Linked DNA regions of Mus musculus. The protein of the gene in region 2 purifies or fractionates together with the protein of the main gene of each other region. This does not show direct contact. Links are inferred from orthologs where the notes say so. Each region holds a gene or a part of one and is shown on either strand. Other genes may lie near its edges. The genes, in order: Hnrnph1 and Hnrnpdl.

The links.
Region 1: the proteins of Hnrnpdl (region 2) and Hnrnph1 fractionate together in Homo sapiens (co-fractionation; 3 studies listed by BioGRID and IntAct, with this or other methods). This does not show direct contact. The link is inferred for Mus musculus from reciprocal best matches to the Homo sapiens genes HNRNPDL and HNRNPH1.

What each region holds. Positions count from the first base shown.
Region 1 is NC_000077.6:50,374,099-50,382,183, reverse strand, and holds the start of Hnrnph1 (heterogeneous nuclear ribonucleoprotein H), read right to left. Parts: upstream 4,507-8,085; 5' UTR 4,382-4,506; exon of another isoform or gene 4,326-4,381; intron 3,949-4,325; exon of another isoform or gene 3,894-3,948; 5' UTR 3,854-3,893; coding exon 3,757-3,853; intron 2,717-3,756; coding exon 2,561-2,716; intron 2,364-2,560; coding exon 2,220-2,363; intron 726-2,219; coding exon 587-725; intron 1-586. UniProt on the Homo sapiens protein: This protein is a component of the heterogeneous nuclear ribonucleoprotein (hnRNP) complexes which provide the substrate for the processing events that pre-mRNAs undergo before becoming functional, translatable mRNAs in the cytoplasm.
Region 2 is NC_000071.6:100,034,710-100,042,837, forward strand, and holds the start of Hnrnpdl (heterogeneous nuclear ribonucleoprotein D-like), read right to left. Parts: upstream 4,514-8,128; 5' UTR 4,454-4,513; coding exon 4,011-4,453; intron 3,273-4,010; coding exon 3,104-3,272; intron 3,021-3,103; coding exon 2,859-3,020; intron 2,508-2,858; coding exon 2,376-2,507; intron 2,268-2,375; coding exon 2,153-2,267; intron 1,943-2,152; coding exon 1,772-1,942; intron 1,487-1,771; coding exon 1,416-1,486; 3' UTR 1,395-1,415; exon of another isoform or gene 276-1,394; 3' UTR 1-275. Other genes in the region: Enoph1 (enolase-phosphatase E1), read left to right, coding at 5,510-5,564. UniProt on the Homo sapiens protein: Acts as a transcriptional regulator. Promotes transcription repression. Promotes transcription activation in differentiated myotubes. Binds to double- and single-stranded DNA sequences. Binds to the transcription suppressor CATR sequence of the COX5B promoter.

The DNA.
Region 1 (8,085 bases), on a different chromosome or scaffold from region 2:
CCACCAACAGTCTAGCCCACACTACACACTTCTTTTCGCCAGTACCCAGCCTATGCTTTTAGTAGGAATCAGCATAGGTAAAAAAGCGCATGCTTCAATGAAAAATAGTCACAAGCAAAGAGAATAAAACCCTTTGTGACAATTTCTTGAAAGCTATGCTTATTAATACATATGCAGAATATTTATACAGCAAGAAAAAGTTTGTTGCATTTCAACTTTAAAAACAAGATCAGAAAGTATCACATTTTCTTATGGTAATATTAATTTCCTATATGGGTGTTATTACAGCTAAAGACAGGTTTGTAGTAATTTTTTAAAGCCATAGTCTCTCAACTCTATTGATTAGGGTTAATAAACTAAAAGTCCTACAAAATTGTAAAGACAGCCCAATAAACTAGGGATAATTTTAAAGCCTAAAGTTTAATTTGAATGAAATACATTAACTGGGAAAATTTAGAAGTTATAGCAGATTATCAATTAACTGGGAATAGGAAATGGGTAATTTCCTCTTTCTAAGCAGAGAGAATATGGATTTAATTGTTTACCATAAGAAAAGTGACATATCCAACCAACCATCCATCCCCACCTGTGCCCTATTCTTTCCTTGTGTTTCTTTAGAGCCTTTTCAGCTATTTCCTGTGAAGCAAACTGCACGAAGGCCTCCCCCGTACTCCTCCCCTGGAAGTCCACCGGCAATGTTATCCCATTTGGCACGATTTCCAACCCTTCAACCCAAGGACAAATAACCCCAGTAGGGGGGCAATATTAACATCACAAGCCCAGAAATGATTCTTCTTATAGCTTTAAATAAACCAGAATTTTAACTTTAGGTGAATGGTATGCTTTCAACAAGTACTCTTAAAATATGCATTGCAATAATAAGAAGTTCCACTATAAAGAGTATAACTCAATTCTTAACACACCCAAGGCATAGTATATACAGTAAAGAAAAAAAAGTGTTATACTCCAGAGGGTGCATTAAGAATTCAACAATTAAAAACATTTTAATCTATGCATCTTAATAGAATTATACAAGAACTTTAAATTTTTTAAGCATTAAAATAACAATTTAAGTAAAATAAGAAACCTTTTAACCTCATATATTTCAATTCTTTTTAAGTTATTGGAACTTCAATTTTAAAATTACACATTTAAACAGTTTATGTAAAAATTGAAAACATTTTAAAAATCATAATTGACAAACATACAAACTAAACTTTCAACAATAACTATCTACAAAGCAATCATGCACTCTTATGTTCTAACAGTAGTATGATTCACTTCTGGAAATTCCGTCTATGAAAAATCCTTCCCGTGGATACATTCCCAAGCTTACAAAAAGGCCTTAAAGCACTTTCCTAGAAGATATGAAATTATGTTCATATTTAACGTTGACAGATAGCATTCAATTCTCACCAATTTAGATAAAACAAAACAGACTTGATTTCAAACTATAAAATATTACAAATTGATACATATATAAAGTTCTAGTCAAAGTTCTAATACATACTATGCTAAAAACTATTAAGATATTTGATTAATTCTGTCTATGTCATCAAGAGTATTAATAGTACTTAAAATATACAAGATTTAACATTCTGCTAAGCATGCAAATCCTATCAGCTCTTCAACATAAAAACATTCAAATACTTTAGGCCCAGAACAACTTCAAAAACTTCTATACTGCTTTCATATTGAGACTACAAGCATTCAACCTACACTTGCTACAATTTACTTTTTTGACTTCTAATAGGCTACCTAAGCCAAGTTCCTTTCATAACAATTTTCATACAGAGAATTACACTAGCTAAAATATTTCTGGTCCCATGACGGAAAATAAGTTATAACACCATAAACTGTAACAATCTAGACTCACACTAATCTAATGTTAAAAGAGCTTACCTTTAACTTGAAGTACTTTGCTAAACAGCAATATGAGGAAGTTAAGATGGCTGAGTAGAATCCTCAAAGGTCTACTCTGAACTACAATACTAAATATAGGCAAAGTTAACACTTTGGAAATACTTCTAATTTCCACCTTTAAGATGGGCTTAAGTTATTTGAAGGTCTCCAGGAAGAAAATGTGAATTCAACAACATATATTCAACAGCCTACTTTAAGTACCTAGACTATTCAACTTTTTAAAGGTCTACTAATACTAATTCATGTCGCCAGAAGCTGCCATACCTCACTGCTCAGCAACAAACAGGACTACATACCTGAGAAGAACTGAACAATTTCTTCCTTGCTACATCCAAAAGGGAGTCCTCTAAGCCGTACAAAGCCATCATTGGCTGTGTCAGGACTATTTGGACCAGTATGCTTCAACACCCAATCCATTTCAACGTTGTTTGACTTGAATACTGAAAGAGGTGCTTAGAATTAGTCAATTAAGTTGGAGAACAAAGTTCAGATTTCCTGGGCTTTTAGATAACTAGGAAGAGCTGCCATAAACTCCCTTAGATGACCATTTCCATGCGGTCAAATACCTAAAATTCAGAAGGGGTAAGACCTCTATGTGTTTAAACGTTTACTGTTACTAGGGCAATGTAAATCAAACCTTCAACATATCTGTGTCCCATAGTTTCTCTGTCTTTTTTCAAGGCCAATTTGACTTCATCTTCTGATTCAAGTTCAACAAAAGCCTCGCCACTTGGTCTGCCTTCTCTGGTGTAGATGAAACGAATACCTTGAGCCCCATTTTGAATTTTGCAGTCTGAAAAGAAAACAACGCTTAATACAGGATTTAAAACCACTACAGATAAAATGCATATTCCTGTCATCACACACACCAAAAAAAAAAAAACATGCCTAAAAAGACTGACCAAGCAGAACACGATCAAATTATCTCATATACAGGATATATTCCTAGTCCAACAAGGTAACTCAATGCTCAAAAATAGTTCAAATGGAGCAGGGCAGTGGTGACGCACGCGTTTAATCCCAGCACTGGGGAGGCAGAGGCAGGCGGATTTCTGATTTCGAGGCCAGCCTGGTCTACAGAGTTCCAGGACAGCCAGAGCTACACAGAGAAACCCTGTCTCGAAAAAAAAAAAAAAAAAAGTTCAAATGAAGCTACCACCTTGCCTCTAAGTTTCCATTAACCATCTCTTGGTACACTATCTCAGAATAATCTCATCTGGATCTGGTGACTTCACAGCATTTTCTTGTTTGGGTACCATGTCAGCTTCCCTCTATCAGCAACCACATAACAATTTCATTCAAATCCAAACTCCAGCTCAATATTCATCCGAAAAGGGACCAATGTTAACAACTAAAGGCTCCAAGCTGCAGTTCAACTCAAACCCGGACGGCAACGGCCCCCTGCAATTGCTTGCAGTATACTTGGGGCTCGATTTACAGATCGTTTTCTGTTACCACAGCTAAATTCAGATGGTAAGGTCAACACTACAAGTACCTTTTTACAAAACCTTACACGACTTGAGAAGAAATCACATCTTTCCCTACTTAAATTTTTCTTAGACTACTCCAGAATGCACAGATTGATGCATAGAGACAGAAAAAGTTTTAAAAGAAAACAAATTCAGCAGGGCCACCAGCATCCCCAAGGGGGTTGGGGGGGGTGCGGATTTCGCAATTACCATTGCGTAACAGCGGCCAACAGAGCGCGAGCCGCCTGGGGAAACCGCTGGTGGCCGCGACTCGCTAGGGGGCGCCCGGGAGACCCGCCCCGCCCCAACCCGGCCCGGCCCGGCCCAGCCGCGGGCCCCACTGACAACTCCCGCCTCAACTCACCAGAAAAAAAGCGCTGCACTTCATCCGCGGAGCAGGACCAGGGCAAGCCCCGGACCTTCACCACGAAGCCCTCTCCGCCTTCTGCTCCCAGCATCATCGTCCCTTCGGTGGTCCTGGCGTCCACACAGATTGCGGGGCTGCGGGGTGGGGGTGGGGGTCAGGAACGCGTCTGAGAAAACAGGCATTTAAATGGCCCTCCCACTTCACGGCGCACAGCGGGCACCGGGCGCCGCCATGCGAGTCCCGCCCGTCAGGATGCCTGGGCCCCGGAGACTCAAGCATGCAACCCGGCCTCGGCTAGCGACCCGATGCCCAAAGCCGCCCAGTGCGCCCAGGGCCGAGGCGCCAAGCTAATAAGACCCTGGCCCACAGCCACGGTTGAGACGAGGAAATGGCGGCCGCCGCTTCCGCTCCGCCTCCTCAGACATCTCACACAATAGAAAGCGGCGCGGCCTGCAGGCCTAGGCGGCGCTGCCACGCCGGCGAGACACTCGCGGCTCCCAGGGGCAGCCTGCGCCTGCCACGGCCCCTCAGGTTAGAACCTAAGCTCAGCGACAAGCAATCGTCACCCAAAGAGGTGTCCGTGGAGAGCTCGGGCAGCAGTCGAAGACGGAAAGTCACTCACCTCCACAAAAAGCCTCGGCGTGGCTGAGGAGAAATGATAAGCGGGCGCCTGCGCAGGCTAAATAAAGCCCTTCCAGCAAGCTCTGCGCACGCGCACCCTGTTGCCGGCCCCGCCCCACTTGCGTCACAGAGAGATTGGACGCATGCGTATTAAGAAACCCCGAGCTCTCTCCCGCCGTCCTATTATTACACGCATGCGTTTGGGCTCAGCCCTCTTCATAAACTGACCGAGGTGTTTTTGGTTGTTTTTTTTTTTTCTTTCTGCGCCTGCGCCTTTTTGCAATTATTGCGCTTGGCGTCTCAGCGGTTTCTTGTTTTACTTAATGCGCATGCGGCTACCTTCAAACCGTTCTCTAGACCTACCCGCCGGAGTGGGGGAGGGGAATGGCGCTAATCAGCTCCCCGCAGGGACTGGGTAGTAATCCAGAGTTCGTTCAGGTTTGCAGGGGCGGTAGTTCTACCCTTAATCCGCAGCTTTTCATCCGCGCTCCTGTCGGTTTTGAAAGACACCACGAAGAAAAGGAAGCCATGCCCTTTCTCCTCAGAACGCGTAGGAGCTGGAGGGCCGGGTTGTGCCAAACCTCCTCTGGGTACCGCCCCGCCCCCTGCGCCCAAATCCCCGATCTCCGTGGGGCGCCTGGGACCAGTCCCCTTACCTGCCCGCTTTAGGGGGTCAGTCCCGACCCACATGGGCTGCCAGTGCCCGAGCTAGTCCTGTACCCCACTTTGCCTAACGGACTCGCACTCTACGAACCCCTCGCCCTTGCACGAGAGGCGCTCGGTGTGCGGCGCCTCGCGAGGGAAGGCTGAGACTGCCAGGGGCGCGAAGGACGCAGCCCCAGAGCGCTGCGCCCGACCGACCAACGGGCCTCTCCCAAGGTGGAGACACGCCCGGGTCATCCCGTGTGCCCTTACAGAGGTAAATGGGTGACGTTTAAGAGAATTCCTGCAACATAGCAGAATACGGATGATGTCCCGAGTTTCTCCGAATCTGACTGACCTACCCTAGAAATTAACAATAAGAGTTATTGTTTGGGCGGTGCCACGGTAGGTACCACAATTGGTAAGCCTCTGAAAGCCATCACAAGAGGTTACAGGCAAAAATACGCTTTTCTTTCAAGTGCAACATTGAGGAGGCTAAATCCAGTTTGAACAGTTTGTTTTTTAAAAGGGGGGGGTGTCATCAAAGGAAAGGTGCAGAGACTGCGTGCAGAACTCAGACCTTTTAAGTCTGCGCAAGGGTGTTAAGTAGAAGGGCATCACAAGACTTCAAGAGAGCAACAGGAGCTGTGTAACGTGAACCTTCAGGTGTAAGGGAAACTCGGATGAGACAGGCTGGGAGAATAACTGCACATGACCTCACCTGCAAAGGATCTATCTAGAGGAGACAGAAAACACTAGTTTAGATCATCGAAAAGTGAGAACTCCCAAGTCTCCAGGCCAGGAGGTGGGTGAAAGGCAAGAACACAAGCCCAGCCGAGGAGAACTGCAACTTCAAGACTTGCCTGAGCAACAGAGTGCGTTCAAGGCAGCCTGGGAAATTTACTGAAAGCCTGTCTCAAAAAGAAGACAAGAGAAATAGTAGTGGTAGAGAGCTTGCTTAACATGTATATTTCCCCCTACATGGTCTTGGGACATGAGATTGATTACCAAGAAACTAAGATTACTCTTCTTTAGCTAATTCACACCATTTGAGAGCCCTATACTTATTAGATGACCTGCGATCGTTGGTTAGATGTATGGGAAGAGCAATGCATACTAGAAAGGCTTTGAGCAAACCAGTCCTACCACTCAACTATATTTTCACACACACACACCGTTTTTTGTTTGAATCATCTTTTTTCACTTTGCACAGTAATGTGCCTGTAGTCCCATCTACTTGAGATGCTGAGATGGGAGAGTCACTGCAACTTAGCAATCCAGGTCTCTCACCTGAAGGGGGGGAAATGTTTCCCTTCTGACAACACAACCACATTCCTACGATGTTTCTCTAAATTCTATTCTAGTTGTATGGGAGGTTATTTTTCCATCGTAAGAGAAAAATGCAGTGTATAATCATAGATAAAAACTTTTATCTTTCCTTATTGTGTCCTTTCCTTATTGTTTTGAGTCCTGATTGCACACATCCCAGGCCGGCCTCAAACTCCCCTTGCAGTCATGCATGGTCTCAAGTGTTTGATCATCCGCCTCCAGAATGACAGGATTAAAGTGTGTGTGCCACCACACGCAATGAGGATTTTCTGGTGGACAATTGTTTGGCAGAAGGCTCTGAGTATTTGTGTAATTTCTAACAATGGAAGGATTTGAAGATCCTTTTGTGTACAAGGGCTGCAAACGCCTGACTTTCACTACATGGGCTTTCCCTTTCTTTTAATCCTTACTAACTTAATACTGGGACTATGTAACTATCTGTATCTGATCACGGGAGCAAATGCTACATCATAGCCATTCCCTTTGATGTAAATTGTCCAACACAAAGCTTCCTCACAGAAAAAGTTCAGCTTCTGGGCCAGGCATGGGTTGCACACATTTTTAATCACAGCAGAGCATTCAGGTCCCAGGAGTTTTGAGGCCAGTCTGGACTAATTAGTGCCTCTTCCCTTTTTTTCTTTCTTTCTTTCCTTCTTTCTTTCTTTCTTTCTCTCTCTCTCTCTCTCTCTCTCTCTCTCTCTCTCTCTCTCCCTCTCTCTCTCCCTCTCTCTCTCTCTCTTTCTTTTTTTTCTTTTTAGACAGAATCTCACTATATATCCCTGTCTGGCCTAGAACTTGCTATGTAGACCAGGATGGCCCTGAACTCACCAAGATCTGCTTTTCTCTTTGTGCTTTTTCTTAACTGCTCTTTTGGTCTTCGTGTGCTTTCTTCTTTGTTTGAGCCAGAGTCTCTGTATCCCAAGTTATAGCCCAGGCTAGGCGGGTGTCCAGAGGCGGCGTCCTCCTTCAGTTTCCGGGATGCTGGGATTACAAGCTTGAGCCATCACGGCCGGCTTTTGGGTGCTGCTTACATAATGCTATAAAGAGACCGTTAGCAGGAAAGCCGATGAAGCAGCAGAAGATACGTCAGATATTAAATTTAATAACCAAGGCTTAGAGTCTTCAGAGTGAAGGATTAAGCTCAGATTTGGGGGCTTGAGAAACAAGTGCCTCTCCTGGCTAAGCCATCTCCCCAGTTCCTGTTGCTGTATTCTGGAAGAAACGAGGTGGTCTATGTCGCTTGCACTTCCTGTCCTTGTTGATAGTTATTACTTTATATAACTGGTGTGTTAGGCCTAATAGTGGGGGAGGGGCATATGTGGGTTCTGTTCCATAAAGATGAGGGGTCAAATGTTGCTGCACATACTACAAGTGTCTAAGGGAAAACCTGTATTCTGTCTTCTGCTCCAGGGTGTAAAACGCATGTGGAGCCTGCATTTCTCAAAGCAGCAGTAGCTTTCTTGTTATTTGAGCCTAGACTGATTTCTTATCTGTAAATGTGATATACAATCCAATCTATAAATACTCTATTTATGTGGGGCTGGAGAGATGGCTCAGTGGTTAAAAGTACTGACTGCTCTTCCAGAGGTCCTGAGTTCAAATCCCAGTGGTTACATGGTGGCTCCAACCATCTATAATGGAGTCCGATGCCCTCTTCTGGTGTGTCTGAAGACAATAGTATACTCATATTCATAAAATAAATCTTAAATAAAAAAAGACTGAAAAATATCTATT
Region 2 (8,128 bases):
TGACGCAGGAAAACAATCACATAAGGAAGCATTTATTTGAGGTTTAACATGAAACCACACAAATAAAAATTTGTATGAACACAAATCCACATTGAGTCATCATAACACAGGTAGCAAAGGACAAAGTAAAACAGAGGAACTAATTGGCAGCTATATACAGTTGGACACAATTGTGTCATGTACACTACAAAGTCTTTTACAAAATAATCATCTTAGGTCAACAGAAGATCAAGCAATCTTCAATGTCGTCCTGTAAGATGGTTTCTTTACACCTCCTAAAACAAAAACGAAACACCCATTAGATGTGTGCAGCCCCACAAGTGTGCAAAGGTCCACTTTCATGGACTGCTTAAGTCCTCACTTCAATTAAAGATCACACGCATGTTCATCAGCAAAGTACAGTTTGGGCACTGAAACTCACTCGAGTTCCAAATGACACAGGATGGACTGAATTTAGAACACGGGAATGCAATCTTCCCTGATCTGCATCTAGCAAGTGAGGGCCAACCAGAACAGAAGCATCCCTAGTAAGCCAACTGGATGCTACCAACACAAATTCCAGGTAGGTTTATAATGGTAACACGGTAGCCAATTACTTTGTGCATATGATCTTTAACTTATATCCCAGATTTAAAAGTTCTTGTTTTGGTTTGTAGATTTCACTATTAGCTATAAAAAGAAAAAGCAAGCATTAAATCTTAAAGAATGAACACTTAAAATGAGGCTCCACAATTGAAATACAACACTAAACAGAAGACCAAAATGATTAAGCTGTAAAAAGGCATTTATGCACTTTAACTCCTGTAAAAAACCATTTAAGTTAAGTTTAGACACTTAATCTCCAAAAAGATTAAAAAAGAAGCCAAAGTCTGAAGTTTTCCACTTTAATCTTTACGCTGGTACATGAAGTTGGAAGAGACCATACCACAGGACAGCGTTTTCTGGTGTATGCCTTGCGCTCTGCCCGCAACGTGCGACCCCCAGAGATAGACGTGGTCAGGGTGACACACGGCCTGCAATGAAGTTCCCGCTGGCGGGTACAAACAAGGTATAATGTCAGAGTTAGAAGACAACATTCTTCTTTTCCTTAAGTTGTACCCATTTCAGTACTTTACCTGTTAACACTTCTAAAAAAGTTTAATTACTCCTCTACACCTCCTGGTACACAAAGCAAACAGAAAAACTCTTAAGTTTTTCTGTAGTTCTAAAAAAGGTGAGGTAAAACTTTAAAGTTAAAGATCTATAGACACTTTAGGCAAAACAGGCTCATAAAGCAATTAAACAGTAACACTTTAGCAAGGACTACACAACATATCATTTACTCGTGTTTTTCATTTGTCTATTGATCTTTAAGTTAAATTAGCCAGTGCAATGCTTTCCTGCATCTCACACACCTGCTCTCCCAGCGTCCTCCTTTAGTAGGGCTGGTAATTGTTCTGGTGATTGCCGCCCCCTCGGGACGCCTTGCCGTAAGTGCTCTGCTGACCTGTGGAAAGGATATGAGTTTCACTAACAAAGTTTCCTAAGAAAACCGTTTTTCTAAACAGAAAAAAAAATCTACCCTATAAGAAACTATGCATGCTGAACATCAAAACATCAAGCCATCTTAACAGTCAGTAATAGCCAATAGCTGTTAATTATATTTTAAAATAACCACCGTCTTACTTTCCTATGACTATACAACATGACTACTCCAAACATCTCAACAGTAAGCCCATACACACAAGTTCAGAATGGGAAAGTACTTCACAATTGAGTTAAGTGTTCTTACCGCTGTAGTCTGCATATCCCTGTCCATATCCATAGTTCCCATAGTTATACCCAGTATAATCATAGCCGCCATAGCCACTATAGTTCTGATCACCACCATAGGCACTATTATAATTTCCATATCCTTGATCATAATAGTTATTAAATCCTTGGTTCCAGTTTTGGCCCTGACCTGAAACAATGCACAACGAAGGTTAGGAAACAACTTGGGACTGTCCCAATCCTACCACAAGCTGATCCATTCCTGTCCCCTACACTGTGGCTTCAACCCCCCCCCCCCAAGTCAGCTCTTTAGTTTCACTCTAGCTGTGTTTCCCTACAGGTCAGGTCCCTAGCAGCTCACTGCTTCAGTGTACCGCTCACTCGCCCAAGGAGGTCTCACCTCTTCCACGCCCCCTAGCACCTCCTCTTCCGCCGGCTGCAGCCCCTCTGCCTCCTTTCTGTTGTTGCTGCTGCTGCCTGTACACCTCTTTGGGTTGCGCAACTTTGATTTCGCACTGTAAATAAACAGAAAATTTGCAGATGTTCCAAGTTCTGAACATAGAACAAGTTTCTCTTCACACTGACTTCACACACACAATCCTCTAAGTTGTTAAGGGATTTACCTTCCCAGAACCTATTTGATGGTATCTGCTTTCTAACAGTTTCTTTACTGGCTCTTCGTCTGTGTATGTGATAAAACAGAATCCTCTTCTTTCATTTGTTTTTGTATCCATGGGAAGCTCAATATTTTCTATCTGAAATCAGGTGCACAGACAAAACAAACAAACCCACCAGTTAATAAAGATTATATAATGCCACAGGCTCTTCACAAACACCAGACACATCTACTGACCACCATGTTCTAAAAAGTTGTGTTTTATCTTTTTATAGTACCTTACACCCCAGAGGCCACCAATTGGTGAAACACTTTACACCTTTGGGGCTTTGGCTAAGTAAGATTAGATACTGGTTTCCACTACAACATAGAAAGCAGCAGTGAAGACGAAGCAAGAGAATTCAGTCCCATCCGGTGAAATATTAATGAACCCCCCCAGACTTGACCAAACACGAGCACAGACACACATACATACACAAACACAGCCCACCTCTCCAAAGGCTCCAAAATATTCTTTAATTTGTTCTTCTGAAGTATCTGGGCTCAATCCACCCACAAAGACCTTTTTAGGGGGTTCTTTCCCCTTTAAAGCTTTGGCCCTTTTGGGGTCTATCAATTTGCCATCCAGTTTGTGTTCTTTCAGTTCCAAAACCTGGAAGACAAGGCAGTTTGGACTTAAAAGCCTAGAGCAACTTGCAAGCAACGCAGTAGACTCAATGCAAAACACAGCCCTACCTTATCCACACTAGCAGCATCTTTGAAAAGCACAAATCCAAATCCTCTTGATCTTCCCGTGACTGGGTCTGTTTTAATTGTGCAGTCTACCACTTCCCCAAATCGAGACAAATATTCAGTCAGATCTTTCTTGCTTGTATCCCAGCTCAAGCCTCCAATAAACATTTTACTAGAAATAAAGTTATTTAAGAAAAATAAGCTTAACAGTAACTTAGTGATTAAATACAGGGCAACTTACTCTCCAGACGCAATCTGTTTTGACTACAAACACTAACATTAGACCACAAAAATCTTAACCACTTGTTCAAGCCAGCTGGCACGTTGCTTTGTACCACGCGAACTCAAAACTTAGAAAAAAAAAAAAAGCCATTAGAATCTGGTAGATGTCCTGCCCTGCTTGCTTTGGATTGCAGAGCACAACTTTTACACCGATTCCCCCGCAACTTACGTAGACTCTTGCCCACAGCCTTAAAGCCAACTTTGCTACCTAGGAAACTTTTAGTGCCAGTCGTCTACTGGTGCCCCAACCAAAAGTTTCCCAAACCTAACCCAGGAAAATTCGCGAGCGGCCAACACACACAATGAAGAGGCGGCAGCGGCAGCAGCAGCTGCAGCAAGTGGCGCACAGAACCCGGCCCCTCCCCCCTCCCGGGCCCCACGCGGCGCCTGCGCACTCGGGACACCGACGGCGCCTCTCTCCTTCCCCAACCCCTCCTCCCTTCCCCCACCCGCGGCGGGCCTCTCGAGTCACCCCATCTTACTTTCCACTAGTGGGGAAGGCTACTGGGGTCCAGCGGGCACGCGGAGAATCGACTCGGGGAAAGACTGGGGGCAGCGCGCGCGGCTCCGGAGGGACGAAGGGCGCGCGCGGGGCTCTGGGGGAGGGGAGGAGCGGAGCGTGCGGTACCCGTCATCCTGCTGGTTCTTGCTCGCGTTGATCTTGGATCCCTCTGCGAACTCCTCTATGTTGCTGTACTCATTCATGTCCTCCATGGTGGCGGAGCCGTCGGCGAGGGGGTGCTGGCGCGCAGTCCGGGTCCCGGCGGCAGCGGCGGCGGAGCGTTGTATGGAGCTAGATTTAAAATGGCGGCGGAAGAGATCCGGCCGCCGCCTGCGCCCTCCCTTTATAGCCGCCCCGCCCGCCAATCGGGAGGGCTGCTGGGCGGTGACGTGGCGCGGGCTCCGGCGCGCCCCCTGGCGGGAGGCGCTGGAAGCGAGCGAAGGGAGGAGCGGGGCGAGCTGCCGGGGAGCCCGTGGCCGCCAATGGGAGAGGCCGCGGGAGGCTAAAGTAGCGGGAGCGGAGGGGAACAATGGCGGCGGCACATGGGAGAGCCGGGGCGGGACCTCCATCGCCGCGCTCCGGATGAGGAGCGAGGTCGCGCCGCGGGGAGAGTCAGCCGTGCGGGACCGGGAATCGCGAGCGGCGCCGTGGCAGGGCCACAGTCCCTCTTGCCTTGAGAGCCGTTGGCGTCGCGCGTCCAGTTCGGCTCAGTCCCTTGCTGCGCCCTCAGTCCCCTAGTGCAGAGCTGCTGCTGCTGCTGCAGCGGCGGCCACTCCGGCAAAAGGGCGGCGTGCACCCCGCGCCGCTTGCTGAAGCTGCAGCGCGCCCGTCCGCCCGCTCGCTCGCCCGCCCTCCCGGCGCACGCGTGTTTTGTCCTCGCGCCGGCTGCAACCAGCCGAGCAGAAAGCCTGTGCGCGATGACCGCCTCCGTCCTGGCGGGGACGGCTTTTCCGCCGTCGCCTCGGGGCGGTGTCGGCTCAGGGGCCGTGGCTGCAGGATCTCTCTCTGCAGCCCGGGTTCCGTGCGTTCGTTCTCCGAGGCTGGCTGAGGCCGCGGCGGAGGGCGGGGCCTGCTCGGATGACTGAAGCTGTGCCAAGGTGCACGCGGTGGGCGGGGAAGGGGTCAGGTGCCGGGGAAGACAAGGGGCACTCACGTCCCGGGCGCGCCACTCAAGGGACTCCCGTCTGCACGAGCCCCGGGCCTCCCGCGCAGGCTCCAGCAGGCTGCGGAGGGCTGGTGCCCGCGCTCGGGCTCCAGGCTCCAGGCTTGGGTGCTCGCTTCTTTGTTCCCGCCCACGCGAGGCCTATTTTGACCGACGGGTTCGCGGCTCGCCGGCGGCCAATAGGCACGCGCTCCTTGTTTCCTCCACCCCCCCCCTTTGAATCCCGGAGCCCCGCCCCTCCGGCTGCCCACGTGGTCCGGGCCTGCGCGGCTCGCCTGCTCGTCGGGTGTAGTACCCTAGGCGGCTTCCTCTGCAACTGCGGGTCCCAGCTCTGTCTCTGAGCCCCTGGTCGTTCGCTGTCGCCAGCGCCTCGGTTGTTGCTGGGCCCTCGGGAGCTCAAGACGCGCAGGCGGTGTTGCCCTCCTTAACCAAGGCCGAGCCCGTGGTAGCATCCGGCAGGGAAATGGTCGTGGTTTCCGTGCCCGCCGAAGTCACCGTAATCCTGTTAGATATCGAAGGTACCACAACCCCGATTGCTTTCGTGAAGGTGAGGGGCGGAAGGGAGCGGGGAAGTTACTTGTGCCTAAAAGCATCTGAAAGGGAAATTTTAAGTGTTGGAGATTTTGCCTGGGAGGCTCAGGAGAGGCGGTGTGGCTTTATGTCTCTGGAATGGGGAAGAGAAGCTGCGGCGGTTTGCGGGGGTGCTTTTCCTCGCGCCACCATCTTCTCCCCTGTCCTTGCTTTCGGTTAGGTGGAGAAGGATAGGAAGAAGTGGAGATGGTCTCAGCAACGGCTTGGGGAGGGGCAGGTCAGCTGGGAGGAGTTGGGGTGATTGGAGCTCCCACGGCCTGGCAGGTAGGTGTGTCGCCCGGTGGATGAGCGTCCCCCATGTGCTGAAGGTTGCGGCCCGCAGAGGTGGTGGCCTTGACTTAGTGGTCCTTGAGGTTTAGGCCTTCCCAATGCAAAGACTAAAGTGAAAGGATTTCTAGTGGCTCTGGTATCTTGGGCAATAGCAATTGATTTTCGCACCATCTCACTTGCGCTGGTTTTGAGACTATAAGAACACACCTAAAATTCCATTCATTTTTCTTAGAAAGCCATGGTATCTTGAAGCTTTTGAGTATCTGTCGGGTTAACACAGTTTCACAGGCTTAGGACTTGACTTTCTTCCATGTAGTCAATTTATGCACTGATATTTATGATAGAATAGTTGAGGGTAGTATGGAGGGGGGGGAGTTGGAAAACCCATCGTCCAGTAAACTGCAGCCTGCTTTAAGGTCTATTTTGATTGTTTACTTGTTACAATTGTCTGATTTTTCTAGATGTAGGTCATAATGTTTGTACACAACTTTAGGTCTCCAAATATAACAGCTATTTTATTTAAGACAGGCTCTTAAATAACCTCTATAATTCAGGCTGGCCTCGAACTCCCATGTGCCACAAATCCGGCAAATCAATCTATCTTTCTTTCTTTCTTTCTTTCTTTCTTTCTTTCTTTCTTTCTTTCTCTCTTTCTTCCTAAATAAGAATTATGGTGTTTTAGATACATAGCAAAGGTTCTGGAAAAGTCTAGTTGGCCATTTTGCCAAGATTTTAATTACAGTAGAGACCAGTGGAAAAATTCAAGACTGCCTAAATGCTGATAATTGTGTCCACTTTGTTGTTCTTGTTACATAATTAACTGCTTTGTGTGTGGTGATGGGGGGAGGTGATTGTAGGTCACCAGCTCTATTCTCTCTCTGTCTGCTGTCCGCAGGGCACGGGACCTAAATGACAGCCGCGGTCAGGATATGGCCTTAAATATGTACCATTTTTGGAAAGTTGATTTGTTAAATAAGATAAGCTCATATAAGTCAGCATGGAAACTGTAATGTCTCTTCCCTCAGATGCCTGTGAGCCACTTCTTTTTTTTGTTGTTTTGTTTTGTTTTTCGAGACAGGGTTTCTCTGTGTAGCCTTGGCTGTCCTGGAACTCACTCTGTAGACCAGACTCAGAAATCCGCCTGCTTCTGCCTCCTGAGTGCTGGGATTAAAGGCATGCGCCACCATGGGACCTTGTAATAAAAATGCTCTAGTGACTTAGATTGATACCAGATTATATACACATTCAAGGCTAGCTACAAAATAATGATTTGGGAATCTCCCTTAAAGGATAGCTTTTAGCAATCAAGCATGGTGCTGCCCAGGAAGCTGGGGCAGGAGGGTTGAAGTCAGCTAGGGCAACACACTTATCTCAACAATAAGTAAATACAGGACCTGGAGGTGTGGCTCAGCAGTTACTAGCACTGGGGGCTTTTCCAGAGTACCAGGTTCAATCCCCAGCACCCACATGGTGGCTTACAACAGTCTGTAACTGAAGTTCCAGGGGATCAGATGCACTGTTTCGGTTTCCATAGGCATCAGGCACGCAAGTAGTACATAGACATATATGTGCAGACAAAGTATGTATAAAATAAAAATTTAAAAATCTTGCTAAAAAGTTAAGGACTGAGCATGTGACAAGCTTTTAATCCCAGCACTAGAAGGCAGGAGCAGGTGGAGCTCTGTAAAGTTGAGGCCAGCCTGGTCTACGTAGTGAGTTCCAGGACATCTGGGGCTACAGAGACGCTGTCTCAAAAACCACAGAACATAAAGTTGAAAAGTAAGTACATATAAATGAGTTTCTTGGTCCTGTCTTAGAATGTTTTTATTTTGCTGTTACACATACACATGAATTTGTCAAAATAAAAGTATGGTCGGAAGAATGAGTTCCATTCAGAAGAATTCGAGTTCTGTGGGTGTTTGTGGGAATTGAACAGAGAGTCCATGAGACATGCTTGGGAGCTGCTGTCTGAACAAGTTTAGCTTTCCAGCCCGACTTCTCAAGGCCGCCGCTGCACGCCTGGGAACATGGACTTTGTGAGTCCTCAGGAGGGTGTCTGAAGGATCCTTGAACTCTTTGAGGAGAATGACAGAGACCCGCCCTTCTCCAGCTTTCAGCACGGAGCTGAGAGTAATACTCTGAGCATTATTATTAGTCAAGTAGGTGTGTGAACTTGAAGATGATCTTATTTCCCAGAATGGCAGACAGAAGCATTGGGTGC